Ovis aries: one gene and its partners. The protein of the gene in region 3 interacts with the protein of the main gene of each other region in a biochemical or structural test. Links are inferred from orthologs where the notes say so. Each region holds a gene or a part of one and is shown on either strand. Other genes may lie near its edges.

Evidence for each region.
Region 1: the proteins of RELA (region 3) and PIAS3 form a complex in vitro, tested with the Homo sapiens proteins (2 studies listed by BioGRID, with this or other methods). The link is inferred for Ovis aries from reciprocal best matches to the Homo sapiens genes RELA and PIAS3.
Region 2: the proteins of RELA (region 3) and PARP1 form a complex in vitro, tested with the Homo sapiens proteins (2 studies listed by BioGRID). The link is inferred for Ovis aries from reciprocal best matches to the Homo sapiens genes RELA and PARP1.
Region 4: of the proteins of RELA (region 3) and PRKACA, one has a biochemical effect on the other in vitro, tested with the Homo sapiens proteins (4 studies listed by BioGRID and IntAct, with this or other methods). The link is inferred for Ovis aries from reciprocal best matches to the Homo sapiens genes RELA and PRKACA.
Region 5: the proteins of RELA (region 3) and CEBPB form a complex in vitro, tested with the Homo sapiens proteins (2 studies listed by BioGRID). The link is inferred for Ovis aries from reciprocal best matches to the Homo sapiens genes RELA and CEBPB.
Region 6: the proteins of RELA (region 3) and ING4 form a complex in vitro, tested with the Homo sapiens proteins (3 studies listed by BioGRID, with this or other methods). The link is inferred for Ovis aries from reciprocal best matches to the Homo sapiens genes RELA and ING4.
Region 7: of the proteins of RELA (region 3) and PRKCZ, one has a biochemical effect on the other in vitro, tested with the Homo sapiens proteins (2 studies listed by BioGRID). The link is inferred for Ovis aries from reciprocal best matches to the Homo sapiens genes RELA and PRKCZ.

Annotation. Positions count from the first base shown.
Region 1 is NC_056054.1:99,195,480-99,199,443, reverse strand, and holds the start of PIAS3 (E3 SUMO-protein ligase PIAS3), read left to right. Parts: upstream 1-1,164; 5' UTR 1,165-1,262; coding exon 1,263-1,286; intron 1,287-3,149; exon of another isoform or gene 3,150-3,197; coding exon 3,198-3,615; intron 3,616-3,773; coding exon 3,774-3,858; intron 3,859-3,964. UniProt on the Homo sapiens protein: Functions as an E3-type small ubiquitin-like modifier (SUMO) ligase, stabilizing the interaction between UBE2I and the substrate, and as a SUMO-tethering factor.
Region 2 is NC_056065.1:28,697,306-28,701,247, forward strand, and holds the start of PARP1 (poly [ADP-ribose] polymerase 1), read right to left. Parts: upstream 2,801-3,942; 5' UTR 2,624-2,800; coding exon 2,504-2,623; intron 1-2,503. UniProt on the Homo sapiens protein: Poly-ADP-ribosyltransferase that mediates poly-ADP-ribosylation of proteins and plays a key role in DNA repair.
Region 3 is NC_056074.1:40,279,507-40,283,471, reverse strand, and holds the start of RELA (transcription factor p65), read left to right. Parts: upstream 1-1,165; 5' UTR 1,166-1,249; coding exon 1,250-1,256; intron 1,257-1,837; coding exon 1,838-1,864; intron 1,865-1,964; coding exon 1,965-2,116; intron 2,117-2,259; coding exon 2,260-2,408; intron 2,409-3,300; coding exon 3,301-3,392; intron 3,393-3,760; coding exon 3,761-3,892; intron 3,893-3,965. UniProt on the Homo sapiens protein: NF-kappa-B is a pleiotropic transcription factor present in almost all cell types and is the endpoint of a series of signal transduction events that are initiated by a vast array of stimuli related to many biological processes such as inflammation, immunity, differentiation, cell growth, tumorigenesis and apoptosis.
Region 4 is NC_056058.1:9,921,510-9,925,009, forward strand, and holds part of PRKACA (cAMP-dependent protein kinase catalytic subunit alpha), read left to right. Parts: intron 1-1,615; coding exon 1,616-1,677; intron 1,678-2,125; coding exon 2,126-2,254; intron 2,255-3,500.
Region 5 is NC_056066.1:78,225,839-78,229,393, forward strand, and holds CEBPB (CCAAT/enhancer-binding protein beta), read left to right. Parts: upstream 1-1,143; 5' UTR 1,144-1,362; coding exon 1,363-2,415; 3' UTR 2,416-3,055; downstream 3,056-3,555. UniProt on the Homo sapiens protein: Important transcription factor regulating the expression of genes involved in immune and inflammatory responses. Also plays a significant role in adipogenesis, as well as in the gluconeogenic pathway, liver regeneration, and hematopoiesis.
Region 6 is NC_056056.1:209,609,795-209,613,802, forward strand, and holds the start of ING4 (inhibitor of growth protein 4), read left to right. Parts: upstream 1-1,208; 5' UTR 1,209-1,221; coding exon 1,222-1,258; intron 1,259-4,008.
Region 7 is NC_056065.1:50,004,311-50,007,810, reverse strand, and holds part of PRKCZ (protein kinase C zeta type), read left to right. Parts: intron 1-1,409; coding exon 1,410-1,531; intron 1,532-2,445; coding exon 2,446-2,535; intron 2,536-2,948; coding exon 2,949-2,999; intron 3,000-3,500. UniProt on the Homo sapiens protein: Calcium- and diacylglycerol-independent serine/threonine-protein kinase that functions in phosphatidylinositol 3-kinase (PI3K) pathway and mitogen-activated protein (MAP) kinase cascade, and is involved in NF-kappa-B activation, mitogenic signaling, cell proliferation, cell polarity, inflammatory response and maintenance of long-term potentiation (LTP).

The DNA of each region.
Region 1 (3,964 bases), on a different chromosome or scaffold from region 3:
TCTCTGGTGACAGTCTGTGTATTTGAGGTAGGGAGTAGGGGACCACAGGTGGAAGTAGGGTTTAGGTACACTTCGGATTTTAGCAGTTCATGTTTTCTTTCCCGTAGGGAGAGACTCACTGTAAGTAGCTACCTCTTTAAGCGATCGGATTTCTGGTCCACACCGTCTTATTTGCAGCTTACTTCCACTCAAAACACATAGAAGGGTTTGCTTGCAGGGAGTCAGAACAGTAGTGAGAATGGTGAAATCAAAGAACGTCTCTCCCATCCACTCCCTAGAGGAGTTAATTTCTCCTCCGCAGGCTCAGAGTCCCGCCCTCTCCCGTCTCAGACTCCGCCCCTCCCCACTTCTCCGCTGTCCTGGCGGGCTCATCCAGGAGGGGGCGGCCCCAACCCTAGCGCTGGGCCGGGCCGAGCTCCCGCCCGGGCGGAGCTGCGGCTGCAACGTCCAGCTGCCGGACCGACCTCCAGCCGTGCAGACCTTGGGAGCAGCGCCGGGCCCCCTCCCCCCCATCTCCCCAGCCCACCCTCTGAGCGTCCCGAGTCCCCTCCCCGCTCCCTGCAACTGTGCTGGTAAGTCCCACTCTCGGCACGAAACTTTTTTGCTGGCGAATTTGAGCCCTGCCGCGGGACCATGAAATACAATGTAACCGGGGCGGGGGGAGGGGGTGAAGAATTGAGAATAGCCGTCTTGAAATAAACTATTTACGACTCCTTGGCGTCCCTAAAATGGATCAGGTCTCACCCATTTCCCGAGTTGGTGGAACTCTTGAATTTGGCTGGTTAAACTTGTAGATAGGGAAACGAGGGGGTTTGCTCCAACTTCGCTTCCCCCTCCCCCATTTCTCTGAGATTAAGCCCTTCTCGAGACTTTTCCCTCCATATCCCAAATATCTTTGGCTTTCTCAAAGCTCATCCCTTCCCGACTCCGGCGTGGCAAGGCCCCCCTCCCCCATGTACTTCGGGTTCACCTCCTCTCCCATGCCACCGGGGACCCCGCGATCCTTCGGGCGGCACACTCCCTCCGGGTCTACGGGTCTGGCACCGCGGCCAAAGACGTGCAGCGGCTGGGTCCGGCTGTGGAGGGAGGGGCTGAGGCCGGGGTTCGTCCGAAACCCGGCGGGCGGGGCCGGGAAGGGGAGGTGTAGGGGGCCGGACGGGGCGGAGCAGGCGGCATTTGCGGCCGGCGCCGGGGTGGAGAGTTGTGCGCCGGTCCCTGGGCCTGAGCTCCGGCTCGGGCTCGGGCGCCTGCGATGTCTCAAGATGGCGGAGCTGGGCGAATTAAAGGTACCGGCCCCCTCCCCCATCCCCATCTGGACTGAGCCGGGCTGTACGCCGAGTCTGGGAAGCGACCGAGACTGGGTGCTGAGGGCTCGGGTGGGGGCTGGAGACGTGGTGGGGACTGGCTGCTGGGGATGGAGAGAAGTGGCTGTGGCGAGGAAGGGGCTGCGTGGGGCTCCGGGGGCGGGGCCGCGGGGCAGATGTAGGGGTGGGGCCGAGGGGAATTGCAGCTGTTGGGGGCCGAGGCTCAGGGGGCGGGGACGCGGGGTAGAAGTCGAATTTGGTAGTAGGGGCAGATGTAGGGGTAGGGCGGGGAGGAAAAGCTGCTGTGGAGGCACAGCGGGCGAGTCGATCGAGGCCTAGAGAGGTGACAGTAGGGGGCAGGTGATGGGAATGGGGCTGGGGGGCCGATTACCGGGAGGCTCCTGGGGGAAAGGCGCTGAGAGGATAGTGACTTTGGGGCTGCTGTTGGGATCTGAGCCTTGGGAAGTACCAGTAGGTGGCTGAGATCTAGGGGGCGGGGCTGTACGGGGATAGATCGAAGGGGTGGGGCAGAAGCATCCTGGAGGCTGAGAGGAAGGTCCTGCCTTAGTGAGTCGGTATCTCTGGGCAGAGAGAGAGAAGTGTTAGACTATGGGATTGAAAAGAATTTCTTGACAAAGCTAATGGAGAAATAAAGACAGGACCGAGGAGATAAGGATGAGGGTAAAGGTAGAGGAGCAAGTTTTTAATTATATTCCTCAAAAGGGGCCCAAAGCCATAATGCCTCCATAAGAATTGCAGATGATTAGCAAGATTGGCCCGTGGCAGGGTCTCCTGGAGATTCACAGAAGTGAGTTCTTTAAGCGGAGAGCTTACCACTACCAGAATCTTGAGGATAAATAACCATCTTGCAGAACCTTTAAAAACCATGGGGTTCACCCCCTTGCTCCTGGCTTTATTCTGCCTTTTGAAATGGAACCAGAGTCATGGGAAGGCCTGAGGTCTAGTCACTGGTTCCAGTTTCCTAGGAGAGCATGCAGTTCTGCAGTCTGGCTCAGGGGCTGATCACCTCCCTATTCTTCCAGGGGCTCTCTTTAGAGCTTTCCCCTCGTTTCTTCCACCCCTGTGGAGGAAGGGAAGAATCACTTACTTTCTCTGGGTAGGAGAGAAGCAGGTTATTAGTTCCTGGCAGATGGAGTAAACAGGTAAACAGGAAGGATACCTGGACTCCACAATTCACTGTTAACCCCTCACCCCAAGTTTTACTCCTGTTTCTCTCCCAGAAAAAATAGGACTGAGGGATGAGTAGTTATGTAAATAACACCAAGGAAAGGTTTGGGAAGTTATAAGCATTGAACCCTGACCTGGCCACAAAAGCTTGGGGAAAATAGCTGAGGTAGATTGAGGGGTGGAAAGGAGTTGATTTTGAGGCACAGTCCTCCAGCCACCTGGCCCCTTTCTTCTCTGTGGGGCTGTCTGGCCTGAATCCTCTTCTCCCCTTCCTCCCCGTCTCCTGTCCCCTTCCCAGGAGGCTAGGATGGGTCTGAGAGTCTGCGAAAGAGCAGGAGAGGAGATAAGCAGCTTAAAGGAGAGTCCAGGCTCAAGGCAGGGTGGTGGGAGGAGGCTGTAGTGGACTCAGAGGTGTGCTGTAGGGTGGCAGGCACCCTGCGCCCACATGGTCAGCTGATAAGATGGGGAGACAGGATTGTTCAAGCCTGGGGGGGTAGTGGAGAGGTGACCTGAGGGTTGCTAGGATGGGAGCTAGATGTCCTTTTGGCTAGGTGGGCAGTTTGGCAGCAATCCACTGGCTGCAAAGCATCTTTCAGATCAGTGCTGGAGGGAAAGCACATTCCCCACCTAATAGCTCAGCCCTGGTGTCTTTGGCAGGACAGGCCTGTGCAAGGTAGGATCCTCAAGCTTCTCTGATCTCCACAGCACATGGTGATGAGTTTCCGGGTGTCTGAGCTCCAGGTGCTCCTCGGCTTTGCTGGCCGGAACAAGAGCGGACGGAAGCACGAGCTGCTGGCCAAGGCCCTACACCTCCTCAAGTCCAGCTGTGCCCCCAGCGTCCAGATGAAGATCAAAGAGCTTTACCGCCGACGCTTTCCCCGCAAGACCCTGGGGCCCTCTGATCTTTCTCTGCTCTCCTTGCCCCCTGGAACCCCTCCTGTAGGCTCTCCTGGTCCTCTGGCTCCCATTCCCCCGGCCCTCTTGGCCCCTGGCACCCTGCTGGGCCCCAAGCGTGAAGTGGACATGCACCCTCCTCTGCCCCAGCCTGTGCACCCTGACGTTACCATGAAACCATTGCCCTTCTATGAAATCTACGGGGAGCTCATCCGGCCCACCACCCTAGGTATGGCTCTTTGTGGTCCCTGGGTCTTCCTGGCCTCCCTGCTTCTTCCTCAAGCCTTTCTTAGGCTTTGTCCTGTGGGCTCAGCAAACTGGAATAGGGGCCACTTCTGTGGCCCCCTGGGCACGGGCTTGGGAATAACTGCCCCTTTGTGTCCTCAGCATCCACTTCTAGCCAGCGGTTTGAGGAAGCGCACTTCACCTTTGCCCTCACCCCCCAGCAAGTGCAGCAGATTCTTACTTCCAGGTTTGTCTCTTTGAGTCCTCCTGCCTCATCCTTGGGTGGTTACCCTGAGACTCCGCTCTCTGACTTTCTTCTTTTCTTTTTTGCCCTCCTTCTCACCATTCTCCTG
Region 2 (3,942 bases), on a different chromosome or scaffold from region 3:
GATCTTCCCAACCCAGGGATCGAACCCAGGTTTCCTGCACTGCAGGTGGATTCTTTACCATCTGAGCCACCAGGGAAGCCCACGATCTTGTTGAGATGAGTATAAATGATTATTTAAAAAAATCCCCAACAACTGTAAATGATATGAAAATAACTACTACTGATGACAAAAACTGCAGTTACTGTTAATGTGCCTTTGCTTTGGGGCTTCCATTCGTAACTGTAGAAAGTAATGAATTGTAACCGAAGTCCAGGGAAGACAGGAATCTTTTCTCATTGAAACTCATGGACCTCTTGAATTCTATGTGCCATCCCACAGACTCCAGGTTAAGAGCCCCTGTATTAATGGGGAGTTCACGAGATCAGCCAGCCACCCAAACGTTAGGATGAAATGAAAAGACGCTCTGGGGGAGATAAGGCTTCTCAAACAGGAGGCCTCGTCTACTCCTCCATCCTCAACTTTCTGCCACTTCTGTGGTGAGCTCCAATTTGGCACCCACCATGCCATGGGCACAGCTCCATCAGGTGGCACCCACCCCAGCACAGCAATGTTTACCAGTCATCACCCCTTTAACCAAATTGGGAGCTCCCAGAAATGGAGTCTGTCCTTGTGCCCCTGGTACTTAACGCCTAGAACCTAACCGGTATTCAGTGAGTGTTTACTAAGCGATAAGTGTTGGGTAGTGAGCTAGGTGGTCCTGAGAATGATACTAAGATGACGATGCCAACCCCTGTCATATTGTTGGAGCCTGTCAGGTTCCTCTGTCCATGTAATTTCCCAGGCAAGAATACTGGAGTGGGTTCCCGTTTCCTTCTTCAGGGGATCTTCCTGACCCAGGGATCAAACCTGCATCTCTCAGGTCTCCTGCATTGGCAGACAGGTTCTTTACCACTAGTGCCACCTGAGAACTCCCAGATGGATCAGGATCTGTTTATTGGACTTTAACCTTTATTTTTCATTGCTCGTTATTATAATCATATATAATAACCTGCCTCCGGGCACCCTGCCCCTCTGCCTTAAGTGATTAACACATACATCCCCTCTCTAAGGGCTTCCCTGGTGGCTCAGATGGTAAAGAATCTGCCTGCAGTGCCGGGGACCTGGGTTCGATCCCTGGGTCAGGAAGACCCCCTGGAGAAGGAAATGGCAACCCCTGGAAAATCCCATGGATGGAGGAGCCCAGCAGGCTACAGTCCATGGGGTTGCAGAGTTGGACACGACCAAGCAACTTCAGTTTCTTTCTTTCCCCTCCCTATGGTTGGCCATTTCAGGAGAGATTTGCAAGAACATGATCTTTCCTTTCTCACCTCCTTCCCCTTTGTGTCCTATAAAAGAAGCTGGCATCCAGACCCCAACAAGACAGCTGATTTTAAGACAACAGTCTGCCATTTTCTCAGTCAGTTGACTTCCCAAATAATAAAGTTAGTATTCCTTGCTTCAATTAGCCTGTCGGGCAGTAAGCAGATTGAGCTGGGATTTGGTAACAATATTATGAAATGAGATAGCCCAAGTACACACTGATACCCATTCCCCTACACCACCTAACTACTGCGAATGCAGCAATACCACCTAGTCATTCCTAAAATACCTACTGCCTCACCGGTGGAGGGAAAATCAAGCTATCTTGACCATGAGCACTAAGCTTGGACAACAGCTTTACCTTAGGGTGGGGAGGACAGGAAGGGTGGGAACTAGAATTACACAAACAGACGGGAGCTTTGGGAAGCTGGAAGTGGCAGGAATCTCTCTGCCTGGGAGGGGTCTTCAGACACACCACCTCACTCCAACACCCCTCCTGGCCTGCTCGGAAGCCTCAGGGACCACTGGAGGGAATCTTGAATCTATTAATAAGCCCAGATGAGAATCACTAGGAACCACTCTTACTCAAACCGGATAGCTACAGAGACGACGTTCTGTGAACTGGGAAAGTTTGGGGGAAAATGTTAAACCATAACGTAAGACAAAAGTGAACGCACTGTACTGAAATGACATCGACTTACATAGTTTTGCATAATTAATTAAAAAAAAAAGAGTGAGTGGGTGTTGAAATGATAGCCAAAAACCGATTAAAAAAAAAAATCCAAATCGTCACTTGCCAGTCGCCACCGTCAATGTAGGACAAGGTAGGTCAAAACCAGACTTAGCTTCAAAAAACAAGGTAGGTCAAAACCAGACTAGCTTCAAAAAACCACGAGTCAGTTTCCTTCCCGAAGCGTATGGTAATAAACCCAGAACTAAGGCTAGAAGCGGCTCCCTATTTTCACAAAGTAAAAGGCCCCACCGGCTTCAGACCGTATTTCCCGGGCTTTTCCTGCAAGATCAGCAAAACCTGACGGAAGAAGGGTCCACCCGGCGGGCTTGTCCCGCGATAGCAGCTGTGCCCGCAGGCCCCGCGCTGGCTGGGAGCGGTCGGCCAGGCCCACGGCTCCGGGCCGGCCCTCCCCCCACCCTCCTCGGACGCGCGAAGGCCCGGCCGCGCACAAAGCGCCCCCTCCGCCCGCACCTGCACCATGAAGGCCATCCGGATCGAGTCCTTGGGGATGCTCTCTTTGCATTTCTTGCAAGACGCGCGCCCGCTCTTGGCGTACTCGACCCGATAGAGCTTGTCTGAAGACTCCGCCATTCTCCTGCCGCTTACAGCTCCGGGAGCCCGACGCCGCGATCTGGAGACCCGCTGCTGCTACTGCCACCTCACCCACCGATCCGCTACCCGCAGGCGGCCAGGCGCCTTGAACCGCCGCCACCGCCTCCGAACACGCCGCGCAGGCCACCCGCCGCTCCGGATAGATTGCTGATGCCTGGCGGCTGGCACGCCCCGGCGCCCGTGCGCAGGGGCGGGGCCGCCGGCGCGCGCTCGCCCCCTACCGGCCGCGGGTGGGGGCGGTAGTTCCCCGGCGCCCGCGGCTGCGCGACCATCCTCCGGGATGCTGGAGGCAAGAGGCGGGGCAGACCCCTCGCCTGCAGCTCTGGGAAGGACGGGGTGCCAGTCCTTTCACCATTTGTCTCCTTTAACTGTTTGTCCCCAGGAAGGCTTAAGTGTCCTCACAGCTGATTCCACCCTTGTCGCTTCTTAATGCATGTGTCCCCTCTCCCCTGAGGGCGGCCAGATCTGGACTGGCTGGGGAAAGTCCTTTGGCAGCCGAAGGACCTGGGCAGGCCCTCGCCTGGGCTTGACTACAGTCCGCGGACCACTGGGACCGAATACTAACTGAAGTCTAGCATCGCCTTCATCTGAATTTTAATGCATGGATACAAATTTCGGGAGTCTCATCAATCGTTATCACAGCACTTTCATGTCACTTTACAGTTGCTGGGTACAAATTGGCACTTACCAAGAGCATTGCCAATGACAACAAAGGCATTTGCCGTCTGCCTCTACAGAGATTGAACCCCATGCTGCTAAAGCTGTTGACCTTCAACAACCCTGAGGGAGTTCAGGGTGGAGTGAGGCACTCTGTGCTCCAGGGAATCTGATGGGACAGGTCTTTAGATAGTTGGATGTGTTTAGGAACAGATTTTATGATCTCAGTCCTTGCATCTCCTCACATCTAGAGAAGCACTAAATCCCTTTATGGTGACATCAGATCCTCATGACTAACAAAAACCTTTTGTAAAATGAGTGTTTCATCGCAGTGAACTCCCCCTTCACCAAAATCTTATATATTGACTTTTTCCCCCCACTGCTGCTTTGGAGCAGTCTCTCAGAGATATCTGAGATCCTGCCTCCCAGGCTGCAGTCCCCATTTTTCCCCAAATAAAACTTAACTCACAACTCTCAAGTTGTACATCTTTTTTTAGTCAACAGGGAGAACTCAGTATTAAGCACATCAGTGCTTAAATTTCAGTCACTGAAAGACCTCCCACCCTACTAAGTCACTTCAGTCGTGTCCGACTCTGTGCGACCCCACAGACAGCAGCCCACCAGGCTCCCCCGTCCCTGGG
Region 3 (3,965 bases):
CTGGGAAAGCAAGTCAGAATTTCCAATCTTTTCCAATTCCCACACGATTCCCTAATTTAGAACGAACTTAGAGAAAATAAAAACCCTTCCTGCATCTGGGGAAGACTGCCGCCAGCCGTGGAGCATCCTCACTGTGGGATGAAAAATCCTCTCAGGGGCGGTGTGTGCTCCAGCCCGACCCCCAACCCGTTCGTACTTGCTTGTACGGGGTTAAACCTTGGGGGACGATACCCTCGGCGAGGAGTCACAGGACGGTTTATTAGTGGAAATTCTTTGGGAAACTTGGACCCCAGCAGGAAGCCATGGGAGGCAGGCGTGGGGAGGAGGGGCGGGTAAGGGAGTTCAAACGGAACAGAGGTGTCAGGTTGCAGAGACAAGCTCCAGAGATTTACCCCCGGGTGACTACCCCTCTCCACCCACTGGCCCCGAGGGTCGGCAGTGTGGAAGATCTTAAACCGACGAGCCTGCGGGTACTGCGCGAGCGGAAGCGGAGCGGAGCCTCTGATCACGCTGACGTGCAGCAGGCTCCGCGAAGGCCACGGTCCGAGTAGTGCCAGGTGGAGAGGTCCAGGCCACTTCTCTTTTTCCTCGTTGCATCCAGACTGGGGTGGACAGGAAATTAAAAAGTGCTTGTGCGGCAATAACCATCAAGAAGCACTCTTATTGACTAGGAAACCGTGAAGAGTTGAGCCACCTGGCCTTGGCGGGCGAAGCAGGCCGGAGCCTTTCCTGCGCGGGGCGGGCGGTCGAAGCCCGGCAGCCCTAGCTTGGCTCCAGACCGGCTCGGGGTGACATCACCAAACTCCTCCGATAGGCGGGAGGTGGCCCCCGAAATCCCCTAAAAACATAGTGAGTAATCGGAGGCCCCGCCCTCCAGGCGGGGCCCAGACTCGGGAGCGAGCCGAGCTGCCCCGCCAGCCCCGGGAGCGGCCTCCGGGAGAGCCGCCTGTCGGTGCCCCGCGCGGCGCGCACTAGCTCCGGGTCGCCGGCACAAGCAGCCTATCCACCCTGCACGCGGCCTGCCCATCCTCCGCGCAGCGCGCGTTCGCCCCTGAACCTCTCCCGGTGGCGGCGGCACCCGCAGCAGCGACGAGGGCGACGGAGACGCATCGCGCAGGCGCGGTCGGATTCCCGGCAGTGACGCGACGGCGGGCGCGCGCGGCGCATTTCCGCCTCTGGCGAATGGCTCGACAGTAGCGCGCGCCGCGGGCCCAGCTGCGACCCCGGCCCCGCCCCCGGGACCCCGGCCATGGACGGTGAGGGCGCCCCCTGACCCCGCGGGGTGGCGGCGCTGGGGCCGCGGGGATCGCGGCGGGAGGCCCCTCACCGCCTTCCGACCCTTCGTTCGCTGTTGGGCGCTGCGCAGGGAGCGGCCGGCCGGATGGTGGCGCGGGGCGGGGCGGGCATCGAGGGTTCTGACTCAGTTTCCCCCTGGGTGTGGGGTGTTGGGGGAAGCGTTAACTCAGTATCCCCCCGGGACCCGGGAGTGGGGCTTGGGCAGTTCCACCTTAGTTTCCTTGTTAGGGGAGAATGTATCTGACTCAGTTTCCTCTCGGGATGGGGGAGTGCCCTCCCTTAGTGTAACTTAAAACAGAAAAGGCCGTGACTCAGTTTCCCCTGGTGGAGGGAGGCGGCCATCTCTGGTTTCCCTCAGGAAAACGGTGCTTCTGGCTTCCTTACGCACACCCCAAGTTTCCCTGAAGGTTCCAGGTAGCAGGTCTGACTGAGTGTCCCCGAGAAGGAGCCTGGCTCCCTCTCCTCACCTCCGGGAAGCAGGCCTTCCCTGATGAGGACAGGATGTGGGCTCCTGCTGACCCTTGTCTCCCTCTCCTTTCAGACTTCTTCCCCATCATCTTCTCCGAAGGTAAGTGGCCCATCCTTTCTCAGTGGGTCGGGAGGAGCTCCCCAGGGTCAGGGGCGATGGGGTCAGTGGCTGATGGGCCTGGCCCGCGTGTCCCCTGCAGAGCCTGTGCAGGCCTCTGGCCCCTATGTGGAGATCATTGAGCAGCCCAAGCAGCGGGGCATGCGCTTCCGCTACAAGTGCGAGGGCCGCTCAGCCGGCAGCATCCCTGGCGAGAGGAGCACAGACACCACCAAGACCCACCCCACTATCAAGGTCAGCAGAGCCCCAGGGCGGGGGACCCAGAGTCAGTAGGGCTGGGACTTGCTTTCAGCCCCCACCCCCCCATCCCGAAATCTGTGTCTGGGAGTTGGGTCTGGAATTCCAGCCCTCTAGGGTGCTCTCTGTACTTTGGACAGATCAATGGCTACACGGGGCCAGGGACAGTCCGCATCTCCCTGGTCACCAAGGACCCTCCTCACCGGCCTCACCCTCACGAGCTAGTGGGGAAAGACTGCCGGGATGGCTTCTATGAGGCTGAGCTCTGCCCGGACCGCTGCATCCACAGGTGAGCTCCTTAGGGGTGGCAGGGGGTGGAAGAAGGTGGTGATGAGATGGGAATCGGAAAAGCAGGCAAGTTATATTGCTGTTACAATGTTAATCGTTTCTGGACAGAGGGCAGAATTCCTCACTGCTTGCTCCCTCTCCAGCTTTGCAAGCTGATTCTTTTGTTTTGAAATTGTCTGTGTGTCTCCTCTCTCCAGTGGATAGGAGGAGCACCCTGTGAGTTCTATGGCAAAGGTGTGGGTCCCTAATCACCCCTGAACCCCTAACCCCTGGGGCTGGAGTGTCACATCTCTTGTAGTCAGAATGAAAGCCATTGAACCAACGGTCTCCCCTGAAGCTTATGTACTGGTTGACAGAGGCAGACCATAAATAAATGTACAAATAACTGAACAAGATACTGTTAGAAATCACCATTTCAGTGATGAAAATGAAGCAGTAATAGGTTGGAAGAATAGCCTGAGGTGGCAGGGAGTGAAGGAGCTGGTCCCACTCCTTTGGGCTGGGACGTCAGAAAGGCTTCTCGAAAGTAAGACCTAAATGTGAGAAAGTAGAGAAGCAGGGAAGGAACATGCCCAGCAGAATGAACAGGTGCAAAAGGCTTTGAAATACGAATGAGTGTCATGTCTTTGGAGAGGGTAAAAGAAAGCCCTGGGGCAGAGGGTAGGGAGCTGGCAGGGACTGTGGCTGGGGCCAGGCGGCAGGGCACAGGGCCTTGTCAGCCAAAGTAAGGAGTCGCTTTCAGTGTGGCACAGTTGGGTGGGGTGGCATTTAAGGGGGTTAAGAATAGAATGATTACCTGGTGAGTGGGGGAGGGGATAAGGGGCAGAGTGGGTAAGGCAGGAGGGCCCAGGCTCTGCTGGAGACAGTGGAGCTTATGCCTCGGGGGGCCTCAGCTTTCAGAACCTGGGGATCCAGTGTGTAAAGAAGCGGGACTTGGAGCAGGCCATCAGCCAGCGCATCCAGACCAACAACAACCCCTTCCAAGGTGAGGGCGGCCACGGTGGAGGCTTGGGCCTGCCTGGAGCACCTCCAGCTGCTGTACCCTTCTGAGGCCACCTTCCCGTCACGTGTCCCTCACCGGCCAAGATGCGGTGCCCATTCATTACATACACCTGTTCAGTACATTCTACCATTGGAGAAACAGACTGAGAGCAGGGGTGTAGGGGACAGGACATTCAGGGTCACAGGTGGAGTCAGTGATGGGTCTAGAACATTCCCACCACCCTCTTCTAGGACTCCTGCTATTTCACACACCTTCCAACAGCCCTCCCAGCCCAGAGCTACCCGCACACCCTGCTCCGCCCCAGCCCCACCCCCAGCCCAGGCTCTCCTGACCATCGGTTTTTCTGACAGTTCCCATAGAAGAGCAGCGTGGGGACTACGACCTGAATGCCGTGCGGCTCTGCTTCCAGGTGACAGTGCGGGACCCGGCAGGCAGGCCCCTCCGCCTGGCGCCTGTCCTCTCTCATCCCATCTTTGACAACCGTGAGTGGTCAGGGAGCCGCATGAAGGGGAGGGGGGTGGGCCTGTGAGGAGGAAAGGAGAGGTGGGGAGGGGT
Region 4 (3,500 bases), on a different chromosome or scaffold from region 3:
AATGACAGGCAAAACCAAAGTGCAAGTGTACAGGACCCTCTCAGGGTGGCGCCCGTCCCAGGGACATCAGGGTTGAGGATAGCTCTGTCCATGGGCCACCCTGGTGCCCTGTGACCCGTCAGAAACAAAGCACTTAATCTCGTGGGTGTGAGAGACTGTCTGGAAAGTGATCAGAAGCCAGTCTTCTCATCTGTCCAATGAGAGTAATAGCAGCTCTGAGCCATCAGTGTAGGAATTAACCGTGGAAAGCATTGAGTGTGTCACAGAGCTGACACACAGAGAGGGTCCCTGAACAGCAGCACAGCTGGCCCCAGGTGGGCCATTGCAAGGACAGGTCCATACCGCAAGAGTCCGTCAGGCCGTGCATTCAAGATCTGAGCATTCAGTGCTCTACCTGTATTTTATACCTCTGTTTTAAAATATACTTGAACCTCCCTGAAGACTCCACACTTCCACTGCAGGTAGGGGGCGCAGGTCCCATCCTTCATCAGGGGAGTTCTGCCTGCCATGCCGTGAGGCCCCAAAAACTTAAAAAATACTTCACAGCAAAATTAATAGCTGACATTTACATAGCTCTAACACCCTGTGCCAGCCACCATCCAAACCCCCTTTGCCAAGATTAACTCCTTCAGTCCCCACAACTACCCTACTGGGTCATTACTATTATTATCCCCAGTTTACAGATGAGGAAAGCTGAGGCCCAGAGGTCAGTTGCCTAAGGTCACACAGCTCTTCAGGGACCAGGCCAGGAGCTAAACTTGATCGTATCCCAGAGTCCTGGCCCCTACCTACTTTGCTGGGGTGGTGCTCCACACTGGTGGGAATGCCTGTTTTCAGGCTTCAGTTGGGGGGGGCTGGTGGTGAGTAGGGAAAACAGATAAAAGAAATCTGGGTAGGGGGGAGGGCGGGGGCAGGCAAGTGAAACAAAGAGGGAGTGGACACAAAGTAACAAGCCCAGGGTCTGCAGGGAAATCTTCAGTGCTAGCTGGACCGTGGTATTCACCTGGGGCTGCTGAGGGGCCTGCAGGGGGCAGGCATCAGGCGAGGCTTTCTTTGAAGCGGCTCAGGAGCCAGGGGCCCTCCATTGGCAAAGGCAGGAATGGAGCCAGCTGGGGGCCAAGGCAACAGCTGAACCCCCAAGGGCGCCTGCTACCCGAGCCCCAGAGGCCTCCACCCGGGCCAGCCTCCCCAGAGAAGGGACCAGAGGAGCCGCCAAATCCAGAGGCTATAAATACCTCGGCTGGCGTCGTCCCTGGCCCTGGAATGTCGGTCAGAACTGGGGCGAGTGGGGGTGGGGTGGCCCAGGCACTGTTCTCTGTCCCCCAACGAGTGACCCCCCAAGTCGCCCTGTCCCCCATTGTGGACAGAGTTGAGACTGGACCCCACCTCTCTGTAGTAAAGGGGACCCACGCCCCAGCCCAGATCAGGTGCCCCCACCCACCCAGGGTTACCCTCAGACTCAGCCGGGAGACCCGAAGGCGCAGGGAGAAGGTCAGGCTCTAGGTTAAGGTGACTGCACCCCACTTTCCACAAATCGGCATCTCCCCAGGAATAGCCTGGGCCCACGCCAGCAACATGGGGTCTTCACCTCACTGTCTTCCTGTCTTTCTTTCAGTGAAAGAGTTCTTAGCCAAAGCCAAAGAAGATTTTCTTAAAAAATGGGAAAATCCTGCTCAGGTAAGCCCCCTCGGTACAGAGTCCCGGGAGGGGTGACTGATGGCCCCCTCACCCCCAACCACATCCAAGTGACATGGCTAGGATTTTTGGGCACTGTAGAGCCGCCTCACCTGCCCTCATTCAACCCATCGATGCTCATGGGGGCGCCTGATCACACACTGCCAGGCTCCTCCACCCCACTACCCTCTTCCAATGGGTGGCCCCTGCCCCTCCAGGCAGCTGCCAGAAGCTCCTGGGCCCCTGGCCAGGGCTGGATCCAGACCCTGCCACCAGCCTTGAGGAATGCGCCCTCTGCCATCTTGTTTTTCCGCCGCCGTCCTTACCAGCTTCGTTCCACCTGGTGCCCACGGCCCCCTCTGCTGGTGGCAGAGGGGACGCCCCAAACTTGGGCTGCGCAGGCTGCAGGGGTTGGGGTGGTCCCTGACCCTCCAGAGCCCTCTGCCCACAGAACACAGCCCACTTGGATCAGTTTGAACGAATTAAGACCCTGGGCACGGGCTCCTTCGGGCGGGTGATGCTGGTGAAGCACACGGAGACCGGGAACCACTACGCCATGAAGATCCTCGACAAACAGAAGGTGAGTCTGGCCCTGCGACACGGCCCAGGTCCCGGCTACCAGGGCTCTGACCGGGCAGTGGTCACCGCCTGGAGCACCTCCATAACGTGCCAGACCCAGGGGCAAGAAGGATACCATGCTGCCTTCAGGAAGCTTCCTCTCCCGGGGAGCCACCAGTGCCAATCCCAGCATGGATGCAGCATCAGACACCTAGCCTGTCTCAAGAAAGCCAAGCATTTTCCAGCGTGAGAGGAGTGATGTCTATGCAGACCTCCTTTCTGTAAATATTTTTGCCAGGCAAAATGCTCTAGAGCAGCAATGTCCAGGAAAAATATCACATATGGTTTTACATTTTCTAGACTCCTCATTTTATTTTTATTTATTTGGCCAAATGGCTTGTGGGATTTTAGTTCCCTGACTAGGGATGGAACCCGGACCCTCAGCCATAAGAGCATGGAGTCCTAACCACTGGACCACTAGGGAGTTCCCTAGAACCCTCATTTTAAGAGCTTTAAAAAAAATACAAGTGGAATTCATTTTAACAATGTGTTGTAATTAAGTCAGTATATCTCCAATATTATCATATGAACACATGCATCCAGTGTAAAAATATCATTAATGAGACACTTTACATTCTTTTTTTCCGTACTAAGTCTTAGAAATCCAGAATGTACTTTACACTTAGAACACATCTTCGTTTGGATGTTCATTTTCACTGGAAAGAAAAGAAAAAGACAAGTTGAAAAGGCAGATTCGCACAGCCCAAGTTGTTCCAAACAGGCTTGAAAGTTGCATTGAGTATCAGTTTTTTAATTTTCATTGTAAATACGCTGAGTTTTATTGTTTAAAGCATCTTTGGGGGGCTGTGCTGAGTCTTTGTTGCTGCTCAGGCTTTTCTCTAGTTGTCGCAAGCAGGGGCTGCTCTCCAGTTGGGGTGCACAGGCTTCTCATCGCAGGGGCTTCTCTTGTTGTGGAGCACAGGCTCAGTAGTTGTGGCACGTGAGCTTAGTTGCTCTGAGGCGGGTGAGATCTTCCCGGATCAGGGATCAAACCCACATCTCCTACACTGGCAGGCATATTCTTTACCACTGAGCCACCAAGGAAGCCCCAAGATACTTTCCATTTTAAACTCGATCCGTCAGTCAACCAGCCATGTTTCAAGTACTCAGCAGCCATACGTGGCTAGTGTGGACTGCCCTGGACAGTGCAGGTGTAGACCCAGAGGATGTCGTTGTGAACAAAGCAGAGGAAGCCCCATTGCAGTGGG
Region 5 (3,555 bases), on a different chromosome or scaffold from region 3:
CCTGCCTGGACCCCCACCCACCAGCCTCAGATACAGGTGCTTTGGGAGGGGGATGACGAACAGCTCTGAGGGTGCCTGGATAAGGGCTTTTCTTTTGAGAACAGTGGGGAACATGAAGCTGTGTGATCTTGGGTGTGCTGTGGGCCTCTGGGCCTCTTTGTACTGGGAAGAGGCCCTTCTTTCTGATGTGTGTCCCAGAGCGGTGAGCGTTTGGGAGTCTGCGTTGGAGACAGTTAATACAACTAATAAAGATAACAGTAAGGACACCCTCGCAGACTTAAACTTGGAGAAGCCAAGTGACTAGTCCAAGGTCACACAGCGTGTGGTCGGGGGGCACCCCACCCCCGTTCCACCCTCCGGGGAGGGGGCCCCAGGTCAGGGCGGGGTGGGGCTGGAGAAGACCCAGGTGTGGTCCGAGGGGGAGGGAGCAGGCAGGTGCGGGGGGCGGGGCCGGGGGAGGGGCGCTCGCCCCCTTGTTTGCACCTCCCCAAGCCCCCAACCCCAGGTCTTCCTATTTCAGAAGGGGAGTCACCGCAGGTGTGAGTCCCTCCTGTCCAGATCTGGGGAGGGGTGCCAGTTTAGCGGCGAGGCCGCACTCGGGGGAGGGCTGTGGAGGCGGCTCACCCCTCCGGGAGTCCGAGCTGGAGGGGGTTGGGGTCTCCAGCATCCCTGGCTGGGGGGAGAGGGGCGCGCCCCCTCCCTGGAGAGCCAGGTCCGGCGGCCGCGGCTCCCGAAGGCCAGCGCCTCCTCCAGCAGGGGGCGGGCGGCGGCCGCGTTCAGGGTGGGAGCAGACGGCCGCCCGGCCCCCTCCCCGGGTTCCCCCTCCCTTCTCGTCCGCCGGCCGGCCCAGAGGGGGCGGTCCGGGGGCGGGCTCGCGCCTCTCCGCGCTCGCCATCTCGGGGCCGCCGGGTGGGAGTGGACAGGGCGGGGGCCCGAGGCCGCCCCCCACCCCGGCCCCGCAGGCCGGGGGACCCCCGGGGGCGCGCTCCGGGTCTCCAGGCCGGCCCGCCGGCGCCCGGCCGGGGGTCCCGGGCGGCCGCGGCGTGTCCTCTGCGTGCCCGGGGAGGGAGGGGCCGCCGCCGGGCGTGACGCAGCCGTTGCTATGGCCCGCCTTTATAAATAAACGGGCTCGGGAGAAACTTTAGCGAGTCAGAGCCGCGCACGGGACCGGGAAGGGGACCCACCCGAGGGTCCGGCCGGCAGCCCCCCGCACTGATAGCGGCCACCCCGGAGCAGCGGCGGCGGCAGCAGCAGCAGCAGCGGCGGCGACACAGCAGCGACTGTTCGGAGCCGGGAGGCCGCGCCACCTGCGGGCCGGCCGGCGCGGGCAGCCCCAGGCCCCCTCCCCGGGCACCCGCGTTCATGCAACGCCTGGTGGCCTGGGACCCAGCATGTCTCCCCCTGCCGCCGCCGCCGCCCGCCTTTAAATCCATGGAAGTGGCCAACTTCTACTACGAGGCGGACTGCTTGGCTGCTGCGTACGGCGGCAAGGCGGCCCCCGCGGCGCCCCCGGCGGCCAGACCCGGGCCGCGCCCCCCCGCCGGCGAGCTGGGTAGCATCGGAGAGCACGAGCGCGCCATCGACTTCAGCCCCTACCTGGAGCCGCTGGGCGCGCCGCAGGCCCCGGCACCCACCACGGCCACGGACACCTTCGAGGCGGCTCCGCCCGCGCCCGCCCCCGCGCCCGCCTCCTCCGGGCAGCACCACGACTTCCTCTCCGACCTCTTCTCCGACGACTACGGGGGCAAGAACTGCAAGAAGGCGGCCGAGTACGGCTACGTGAGCCTGGGCCGCCTGGGGGCCGCCAAGGGCGCGCTGCACCCGGGCTGCTTCGCACCCCTGCACCCGCCACCGCCGCCGCCGCCGCCGCCGCCGCCGGCGGAGCTCAAGGCGGAGCCGGGCTTCGAGCCCGCGGACTGCAAGCGGAAGGAGGAGGCCGGAGCTCCGGGCGGCGGCGCCGCGGGCATGGCGGCCGGCTTCCCGTACGCGCTGCGCGCCTACCTCGGCTACCAGGCGGTGCCGAGCGGCAGCAGCGGGAGCCTGTCCACGTCCTCGTCGTCCAGCCCGCCCGGCACGCCGAGCCCCGCCGACGCCAAGGCACCCCCGGCCGCCGCCGCCTGCTACGCGGGGGCGGCGCCGGCGCCCTCGCAGGTCAAGAGCAAGGCCAAGAAGACGGTGGACAAGCACAGCGACGAGTACAAGATCCGGCGGGAGCGCAACAACATCGCGGTGCGCAAAAGCCGCGACAAGGCCAAGATGCGCAACCTGGAGACGCAGCACAAGGTCCTGGAGCTCACGGCCGAGAACGAGCGGCTCCAGAAGAAGGTGGAGCAGCTGTCGCGCGAGCTCAGCACCCTGCGGAACTTGTTCAAGCAGCTGCCCGAGCCCCTGCTCGCCTCCTCCGGCCACTGCTAGCGCGGCCCCCGTGCGCGTCCCCCGCGGCCGGCCGGCCGGCCCCCGCGCTGCCGGGCGCGCCGCGGCCGCCGAGACTCCGGGGAGCGCCCGCGCGCCCGCCCGCGCCCCTGGCGGCGCCGGCAGAACTTTGGCACTGGGGCACTGGGCAGCGCGGGGAGCGCGTCGGTAATTTTAATATTTTATTATATATATCTATCTATATTTTTGTCCACACCAGCCGCACGTGCAGACGGGGCGCCCGCCCGTGGTGTTATTTAAAGAAGAGATGTCTATGTGTACAGATGAATGATAAACTCTTGCCTCTCATTCTGCCCACCCCCCCTCTCTGGGCGCCGGCGGGCGGGCCGGTTTCGAAGTTGATGCAATCGGTTTAAACATGGCTGAACGCGTGTGTACACGGGACTGACGCAACCCACGTGTAACTGTCAGCCGGGCCCTGAGTAATCGCTTAAAGATGTTCCTACGGGGTTGTTGCTGTTGATGTTGTTTTTTGTTTTTGTTGGTGTTTTTTTTTTTTTGGCCTTTTTTTTTTGTATTATAAAAAAAAATCTATTTCTATGAAAAAAGAGGCATCTGTATATTTGGGAATCTTTTCCGTTTCGAGCATTAAGAACACTTTTAATAAACTTTTTTTTTTTTTTGAGAATGTTTAAAAAGCCTTTTGGGGGCAGTAGTTGGCTTTGATTTTTTTTTCTTCCCCTTTATTTTGGATTTATATTTGCCTTTCTGGTGTGTGGGGGGTTGTTGTTGTGTGTGTGTGTGTGAGTGAGAGCTGCTGTTATTTTTGGCATTTTAGGTGGTTGGGTGGGGGTGTTGCAGCTGCTTATTCTCCTCTGCTACTCCCCCCCTCAACCCCACCCCCAGGGCCTGTGCTTGGAGATGGGGGTATCAGGCCTGGCGCGGGGGAGGGGCAGAGGAGTGCTGGGTCAGGCTTTGAGGGTGACTCAGTGCGGCTGAGTGCTGGGGAGGAGTGACTAGGAGCCCTGCTTGGGGAGGGCCTGCAGGGCCTCTGGCTGGTCCTGAGTCCGGGGCTTGGGTTTGGAGGGGCTTTGCGGGTTCTGATCTCTGCACAGCGCGTGGGGACCCAGCCCATGGGACTGTGACTCTGAAAAAGAAGGGGTACAGGTCTTGGTCCTACTG
Region 6 (4,008 bases), on a different chromosome or scaffold from region 3:
ACCACATGTGACCAGGTAGGTGGTGTCTGTTTCCTGAATATTTACTGCTTTTTCCCGTTGGTCTCACTAACTTGAGTTGACACTATCAGCCCTACCTTCATCACAGGTATTACAATCAGATTTTACGCTCTTGAAGGATATACTCACACTGATAGTAACAACCCCATATGGTCATTTTGTAGAGAAGGACCTGGGTGTGGAGATTAAATGATCCAGGGCCTGCTGCTTGTGAGGTAGGACATCATCCAGATTCTGTGGCCAGATGGTACCACCGGCTCAGTAGTATATCGGGTTTCACTGTGCCCTTTTTTAAACATTTTATGTGGCTGAAAATGTCATAAAAACCTGCCATGTGACATTGATAATTAAGAATGTGTGGCTTAGGGGTGACAATGATCTCCAACATTCTTCCATTCTGGTCGCTGACATCTGCGTCCCTAGTGTGGTGGCCTGCCTGCATTTGGTGGCTTTCTATCTTGCTGAGACGTGTATTTGTCATTGTGCTTGTCGTGGGTCAGGGTGATAGCTGGCATCCATCTGGCCCAGTTGTGACAGCTCTGTGCCAGTTAACATCATACATAAACGAGTAAAAATGGAGACGAACACGGGAGGACAAGGCCAGCAGTACTCTTGTCACTTTGCAAGCGGGAACGTCCTGGAGTGGCAGAAACCCTTACAAAAGGTGAGGAGAATCGCAGCTTTATTGTGAGGAGTGCTTTGTACCTATAAGCAGCGTTTATAAATAATGATCTGTTTCCACATCAAAACATAATCCTGGAGAGTTGGCGTTCGAGTGAGTGAACAGAAACGGGGAGGATTTACACCTCGCACCGTAACTGGAGAAGGCACCTGCCCTGGTCGCGAGCTTCACATTTTCCGGCTGCTGAAAACAGTTCTTTGTGGACTAAAAGCCCAAAAAGACAGGTCTCTTCGCCCGCACGTCCCTCTCCTGGAGGGAACGGAAGTTTGAGGACGCAAAATGGCGCCCTCAGCCAACGCCGCCGCCGGCCCCGCGCTCGACCGCCCCGCCAGGGACGAGTGTCTTCGCCGGCAAGAGGCGATTCGACGGGTGCTGTACTCAGACCGGAAATTAACCTCGTGAGGGCGGAAGTTACCCTTGAGGGCGGAAGGGCTCCAGGAGGGGGGTGGAGGACCGCTTCGGCGCCCGTTGCGTTCAGTCACTTCCGGGGCGGAGCGGAAGTTGCTTTGTTTTGCTTCAAGATGGCTGCGGGGATGTATTTGGAACATTATCTGGACAGTAAGAGCAGGCTGGAGGAGCGGGTCAGGGGTCACAGAAGGGTGGGGGTGGGGGTTCGGGCTGAGGAGCTTTATGGCCCTGAAGACCCGATGGTCAGAAAGTCACAATCGTGAAGGGTTGCGTGAGAGAAAATACTGGAGTGTGTGAAGAAATAGGGGGCGGGGCAGCGGGGTCGAGGCCTCGCTCTGAGGCGTAGAAGAGGGAGGGGTTGCGCGGCTGGGCTGGGGGACGGCTCTTGAAATGCTGGTCGGCATAGCCGGGAAGATATTTGCTGCCCCTGTCTTCAGGGTCTCCGGCCTCAGGATAATCTTTTTCTTAAAGTCGTTCTGAATCGGTTATTTTAGTATATCATCCACTGCCATTGGAGCAGCGACAAAGATCTGCTCGCGATTCTCCGCCCAGTTCTTTCGAAGATGCATCTTCTCATGGGGATAGGGGGTTACGAGTGACCACTGTCAGATGAAGGACTGGAAGGTTTCTCCTCTTGGAGTAAAGACCCAATTCCCATCAGATGGAAATTTGGTGTTCTGTTTATGCCATTTGTGTGGCCCCCTTCACAGAGCCTGTCACCCTATTCTCTTTGCCTTAGCGTTGGGAGTCATTCATTCGTTTATTGAGGTCCTGCTGTGGGTCAGACATAATGGCAGGTACTGGGGGTATACAAGAATGAATACCACACGGACCTTCTCCTGAAGGTGCTCATAGACTAGTAGGACACAGATTCTAATAAATAATTATAAAATTGTGGCAAATAACAGAAATACATTAAACAGACAGTTGGTAACACTGGAGAAAGAGAGACTAGTTTACCTGGAGGTGTAGGTAAAGCTTTACAGAGAATGTACCGAATCTTGAAGGTTGAGTGTTTATTTGCCGGTGTAGAGAGGGAGAGGGGATTGAAGGTTGGGGGAAGCATCAGCAAAGGTGTTCTGATGGGTTTGTGGCAAGATCAGGGAAAGATGAGACCAGAGTGTTTAATGTATAGGACTCTGAGGTAAAAGATTGGAAAATGACACTGGAGAATGTAGCTGAGGCTGGGTTGTGCCTGGTCTTTAAAGCCAGGCTAAGAAGCTTGCACTCTAAATAGTGAGGAACCAACGGATTTTCTAAATGGAGTGATTTTTTTTTTTTTTAATAAAGGAAAGTAATTGATGTCTGGTAAATTGGAGCATGATGACCCTGGTAATACAAGATTAATTAGTAATAACAGTTCTGGTCAGAGATGAGGCCCTGATCTCAACAGAGTATTTAGGAGGTAAATATAACCGAATTGACTGACTGAGTGGTTGAGAGAGGAGGAGGAATCTAAGGTGACTTCTTGATTTCCTGTTTGGGAAGTGAGGTAGACATATATCATCAAGAAGATAGGAAATTCAGAAGTCTGTAAGAGTAAATGAGATGGAGATCATTCAGAGAAAGTATGAGAAAATAATAGGATTAACTTAAGTGTAAGCTCAAGAAAATAGTAACGTTTAAGGGACAGGCTAAGGGAATGTCAGTGATGAAATTACTTGAAAGTGTGTGAGGAGATTTAGAATCTTAATAGAAAGTTACACATAGGCAAGAAGATGGTGAGAATACTGCAAACATTTTTTTTAGGATGGAACTAGTAATTAGATTATTTGATTTGGTAACTCATTGGTGACTTAATCTTAGTAAACTGATGGTGGACCCGAGTCTATAGGTTAAAGCATTGGATGCATTTTAAAAGTTTCAAAGTGGAGTCATGGAAAGAGAATTTTTTTTATGAGAGAAATGCAAGTATTCATGCCTTTATATTCAATTATTTATTGAGGATCCTCTGTATGCATGTCATAGTTCTGAACACTAGGGAAATAGGAGAGAAGAAGACAGACATATCTAACACTTCTGGAGAGCTGGGGAGACATACCATATAACTAATTATATAATTACTTATTTAATTACATTGGATAAGTGCCCCCAGAGTATCTGCCCTGCCAAAGGGCAGCCATAGAATAGCATGACAGCATAACCCAGGGCACTTGGAGTCAGGGGCAGTCAGGGTTGAGCTGAACTTTGAAGAATGAACAGAAGTTCAGTAGGCCAAGAGGGATGGTGGAAGTGGGGTGAAAGAGACGGGGCAGGGCGTCCTGGGCAGAGAGAGCAGTGTGCGGAAAGCCAAGTGTCTGGAAGAGCACCGGAAAGTTCAAGGCACTCAAAGAAGGCCAGTGTGACAGAGCGGAGCGCGCACAGACGGGGACTGACCTGAGTTAGGTCTGGTGTGCAGCACGGGCCAGAAAGTGCAGAGTAGGACTTGGGAATATTGCAGTGGAAGTGACTGGAGGTTTATAAACGGGAGAGTGACTTGATCCGATTTGCATTTAAAAAAAAAACATTCTGGCTACTGTTTGGAGAGCAGATTGGAAGTGTGTGTGTGATCAGTGGAGGGTACCAAGAGGGTATTTGTAAGTTGAGGGCAAAAAGATCTTTTTGTAAAAAAAAAAAAGTACTTATTTGGCTGTGCCAGGCCTTAGTTGCAGCATGTGGGATCTTTCATTGCAGCATGTGGGATCTAGTTCTCTGAGCAGGGATTGAACCCGAGCCCCCCTGCATTAGGAGCATGAAGTCTTAGCCACTGTACCACCAGGGAACTCCCAAGGGCATGGAGAGGGAAGGGCTGATTTGTAAAGTTACTGAAGAGGGGAGGGTGGGAAAGCTGTGCAGAGATGGGGAGCTCGCTGTGGAGACCGGTGGACATGGCTCCTCCTGAGAAAGCAATGATGAGTGCT
Region 7 (3,500 bases), on a different chromosome or scaffold from region 3:
TCTAGGCCCTGAAGCGCTGGGCAGGGGGACTAGCTGCCACCTGGGGGTGGAACTGTGAGTGAGGGTCGTGGGGCAGGGATAGATAGTTTGCCACCCCGGGATAGATGGGTGGCAAACTCAGTTCCAGAGCTCCCATGGCAGGGGGACTGATGGGTATGCCGGGTGGCACAGGTACGAGGTCTGGGAGATGTGGTGGGTGTGGGAGGGCTTGGTCTCTGGGGGCCCCACTGATGAGCCGTGAGACCCCTCTATGCCTCAGTCTCCCCATTTGCCAAGATGCCACAGGTTGTGGTGAGCTTTGGGCCCTGGGGTGGGCACTGAGGGTCTGAGCAGATGGGGTAGGTTCTAACTGTGCCCCCCACCCCCTCGGGAGTGAGCCATGGGCTGGACACGAGCTGCCATGGGCACCCAGCAGATGGATCCTGGATCCTGGTGGCCCTGGGTCTGTTACCTGGTGGACCGAGATGCTCTGTCAACACGTGTTTGATGGAATTCAGAAGCCATTGGTGTTAATGCTCAGTGGACCCTGTGTTTCTCTTGTTGGGGGTGTTTCAAAACTTTTTTCAGAGGATCCCACCCTTGTGGTGTCAGATGTGGGTAAACTTCCCTCTAACTTCAGTTTATCCTGTGTGATTCCTGTTCAGAGTCTCAGCAGATGTACGTTTACTCATGTCAACACCAGCCCTGCTTTGGGTGGTAGGTGATGTGGGACAGTGCATGGAGGGGGGTTGGATACCTCTCCCTCCCTGTCCTGAGGAGTTGAGTGTTCCCTGGTGCTGACTTGCCTTACCTCTAAGGGCCATTCTCAAAGACTGACCATGAATCCCTGGGCTGTCTTCAGTCTTATATCCCAAGTGTGGATGAAAAGATAAAAGGCAGTGGCATTCTGTGCCTTGGTTTTCCCAACAAACTGGGTCTGGAATTATGTTGTGGCCCTACCAAAGGCAGTTGTCGAATGGTGCCTCCAGGGTTTCAAGAGGCTGTGGCATTGGGGTAATAAGTTAGTCCCCCTCCCCATACCTTCCACCACTTCCCACCTCTCAAAAGTCCCACACCCTGGATACCATGTGGCCCTGTTGGCACCATTGAGGTAGTGGGACGATGTAATGAGGCCTATGGGCTTGAACTGAACAGTCTGTGTCCAGCTGCGCCCACCCCTCCTGGGTGACTGCCCCTTACCCTGTCCTTCTGCCCCTCAGAGGCACGTTCAGGTGCCAGGATGGGTGTTTCTGCACCAGGGCATTCATGGTGTAATTCACATGGCCTGTGGGCAGTGGTTCTGGGGTGCGGGGGGAGCTGTCATACCCTTGGGGACAACACAGCTTCCTGTATTTGATCAACAACTTGGTTAGTTGATCATGTGACTTAAATGTGCCCCCTGGTGAGACCTGTGTGTCCTCTCTGCCCAGGGACCTCCTCATCACCAGCCTGGACTCCGCCACCACCTTCGATGAGCTCTGCGCAGAGGTGCGGGAGATGTGCCGGCTGCACCCGGGCCACCCGCTCACCCTTAAGTGGGTGGACAATGAAGGTGGGCCTGGGGGGTGTGGTGGTCGGGCAGTGGCTCTCTAAACCTGGGCGCGACCCCTTCCCTGGGGAGGTGGACAGCTCTGGGATTAAGCTGATTCAAATTAACTAGCTTCCTGTTTCTGGGGAAGAGGCTGTGGCAGGTCATGGAGGCACTAGGGGGCGGGGGTGAGGGTCCCTTGAGGGGGGTGGTTCCCCTCAAGGCCAGCTCTGGTGCTGGGTCCTGGGGAGAGGCTGCAGGAGTCCCCCCGCCCATCTTGTGTGAGTCCTGACCTTCCTGACTCCCTTCCTCATGTTCTGGATTTTTCTGGTGGGTGATTTGCTAGCTGAACTGTGGTTTCTCAGGGAAGTGGGGAGGGGAGGGTGGCCAGCGCCCTAGGGTCCACCTCTCTTTTCCTTTCCCTCCCTCCTTTCCTGTAGCCAGACACACGTCTGAGATAGTGGAGGGTTTGGAAAACAGTTCAGAAGAGCCTTCCCAGCAGCTCTCAGCCTGGACATGGGAGTGGGGGAGGGCAGGGGCAGGCAGACCTCTGGCCATTCCCCTTCCTGCTGAAGCCAGGCCACGATGTCCTGGCTCTGGCTGTCCAAGCATCTGTGCTCCTGTCCAGCCTCAGTAGACAAGGAGCCCTTCCTTCCGGTCTAGGACTGGATAGGAAGGGTGCTCATTCTCTCCCGGGCCAGGAAACCTGCCCAGCTTGGCACCCCATGTGGAGCTGTGGGTGAATTCATTGCCATTCTGGGGCTTGTTGGTTCTGACCTGGGCCTTTGGGTTGGGGGAGTGACTCACTCTGGCACTGGCCAACTCTGCCCTGAGTGGCCGGTCACCAGCAGCAACGCGCTCCCAGTTGGGCGCCCACCATCATGAACCCCCCTGCCTTGGGCCTGCAGTGGCCTCAGCTGTGTCCCTCGTCTGCCTAGGTGACCCCTGCACTGTGTCCTCCCAGATGGAGCTGGAGGAGGCCTTCCGCCTGTCCTGTCAGCACAAGGACGAAGGGCTCACCCTTCACGGTCAGTGCCAGCCGGTGGGCGCTCTCTGGGTGGGGGTGGGCACTTGGGTGCTTTGTTAGACCAGAAGCCACACAGGTCATGGTTTAAGATATTAGGATGCAAAGGATTTAAGAATGTGGAATAGGAAGCAATTTGGTTTCATTTTTTGCTCTTAGCTCTTATTATCCCGGATAAAAACCGCTCTTACTTGTCAGAAGTCAGTGAGGTGTCCTCTCACTGGCCACGGAAGCCTAGGTTCTGGTGGTCGGCCCTCATTGCCCGTCCATGTGCAGGGTTTCCAAGGTTTTGCCTTAATAATCATCTGGCAAGAGCAGGCCATGGGGATCGTGGGCAGTCAAACTCAGCGCAGGGCTCCTTGCGAAGCCACGGTGGTCACTGACCTTCACTCTTTCTCTGGCTCTCTCTGCATGCAGTTTTCCCCAGCATCCCCAAGGAGCCAGGCATGCCCTGTCCTGGAGAAGACAGTGAGTACCGTCCTCCTGCGACGCATGTCCTGGTTGTGGGTTGACGTGTCTGTTATGCCAGGGAGGGGAGGATGGGAGCCGGGTGCCCTGGGGCTTAGTGCTCCTCGTGAAGTGTGTGAGGGCAGAGTGGGCAGCTGGTGTGGCCTCACAAGGGGTTCTTACTGGTGCCCCTGCCCTTGGCTGAGTATGATCAGGCACCAGTGCCACCACTGGACAGGGCGTCGGCTTGGCCAGCGGTGCCATGAGGAGACATCCCGGAAACACCCTGACCTCCCCAGGCAGGCAGGACCCTGGCTGGGACGGCTGGATGTGGCTCCTGTGTGTCTGTCCTGACTCATACTGGCCCCATTCTCCTTTGTGGAGGGTCTGTGGGTTGAAGGTGAGGTCCCAGGGGCAGTGGGTCAGAGAAAAGCTTCTGACCACACCCCAGAGGCCCCTGACCCTGGGCAGTTTGGTCCACCTTGTCCTTCAGGGCAGCCTCTACTGACTGGAGCACAGAGA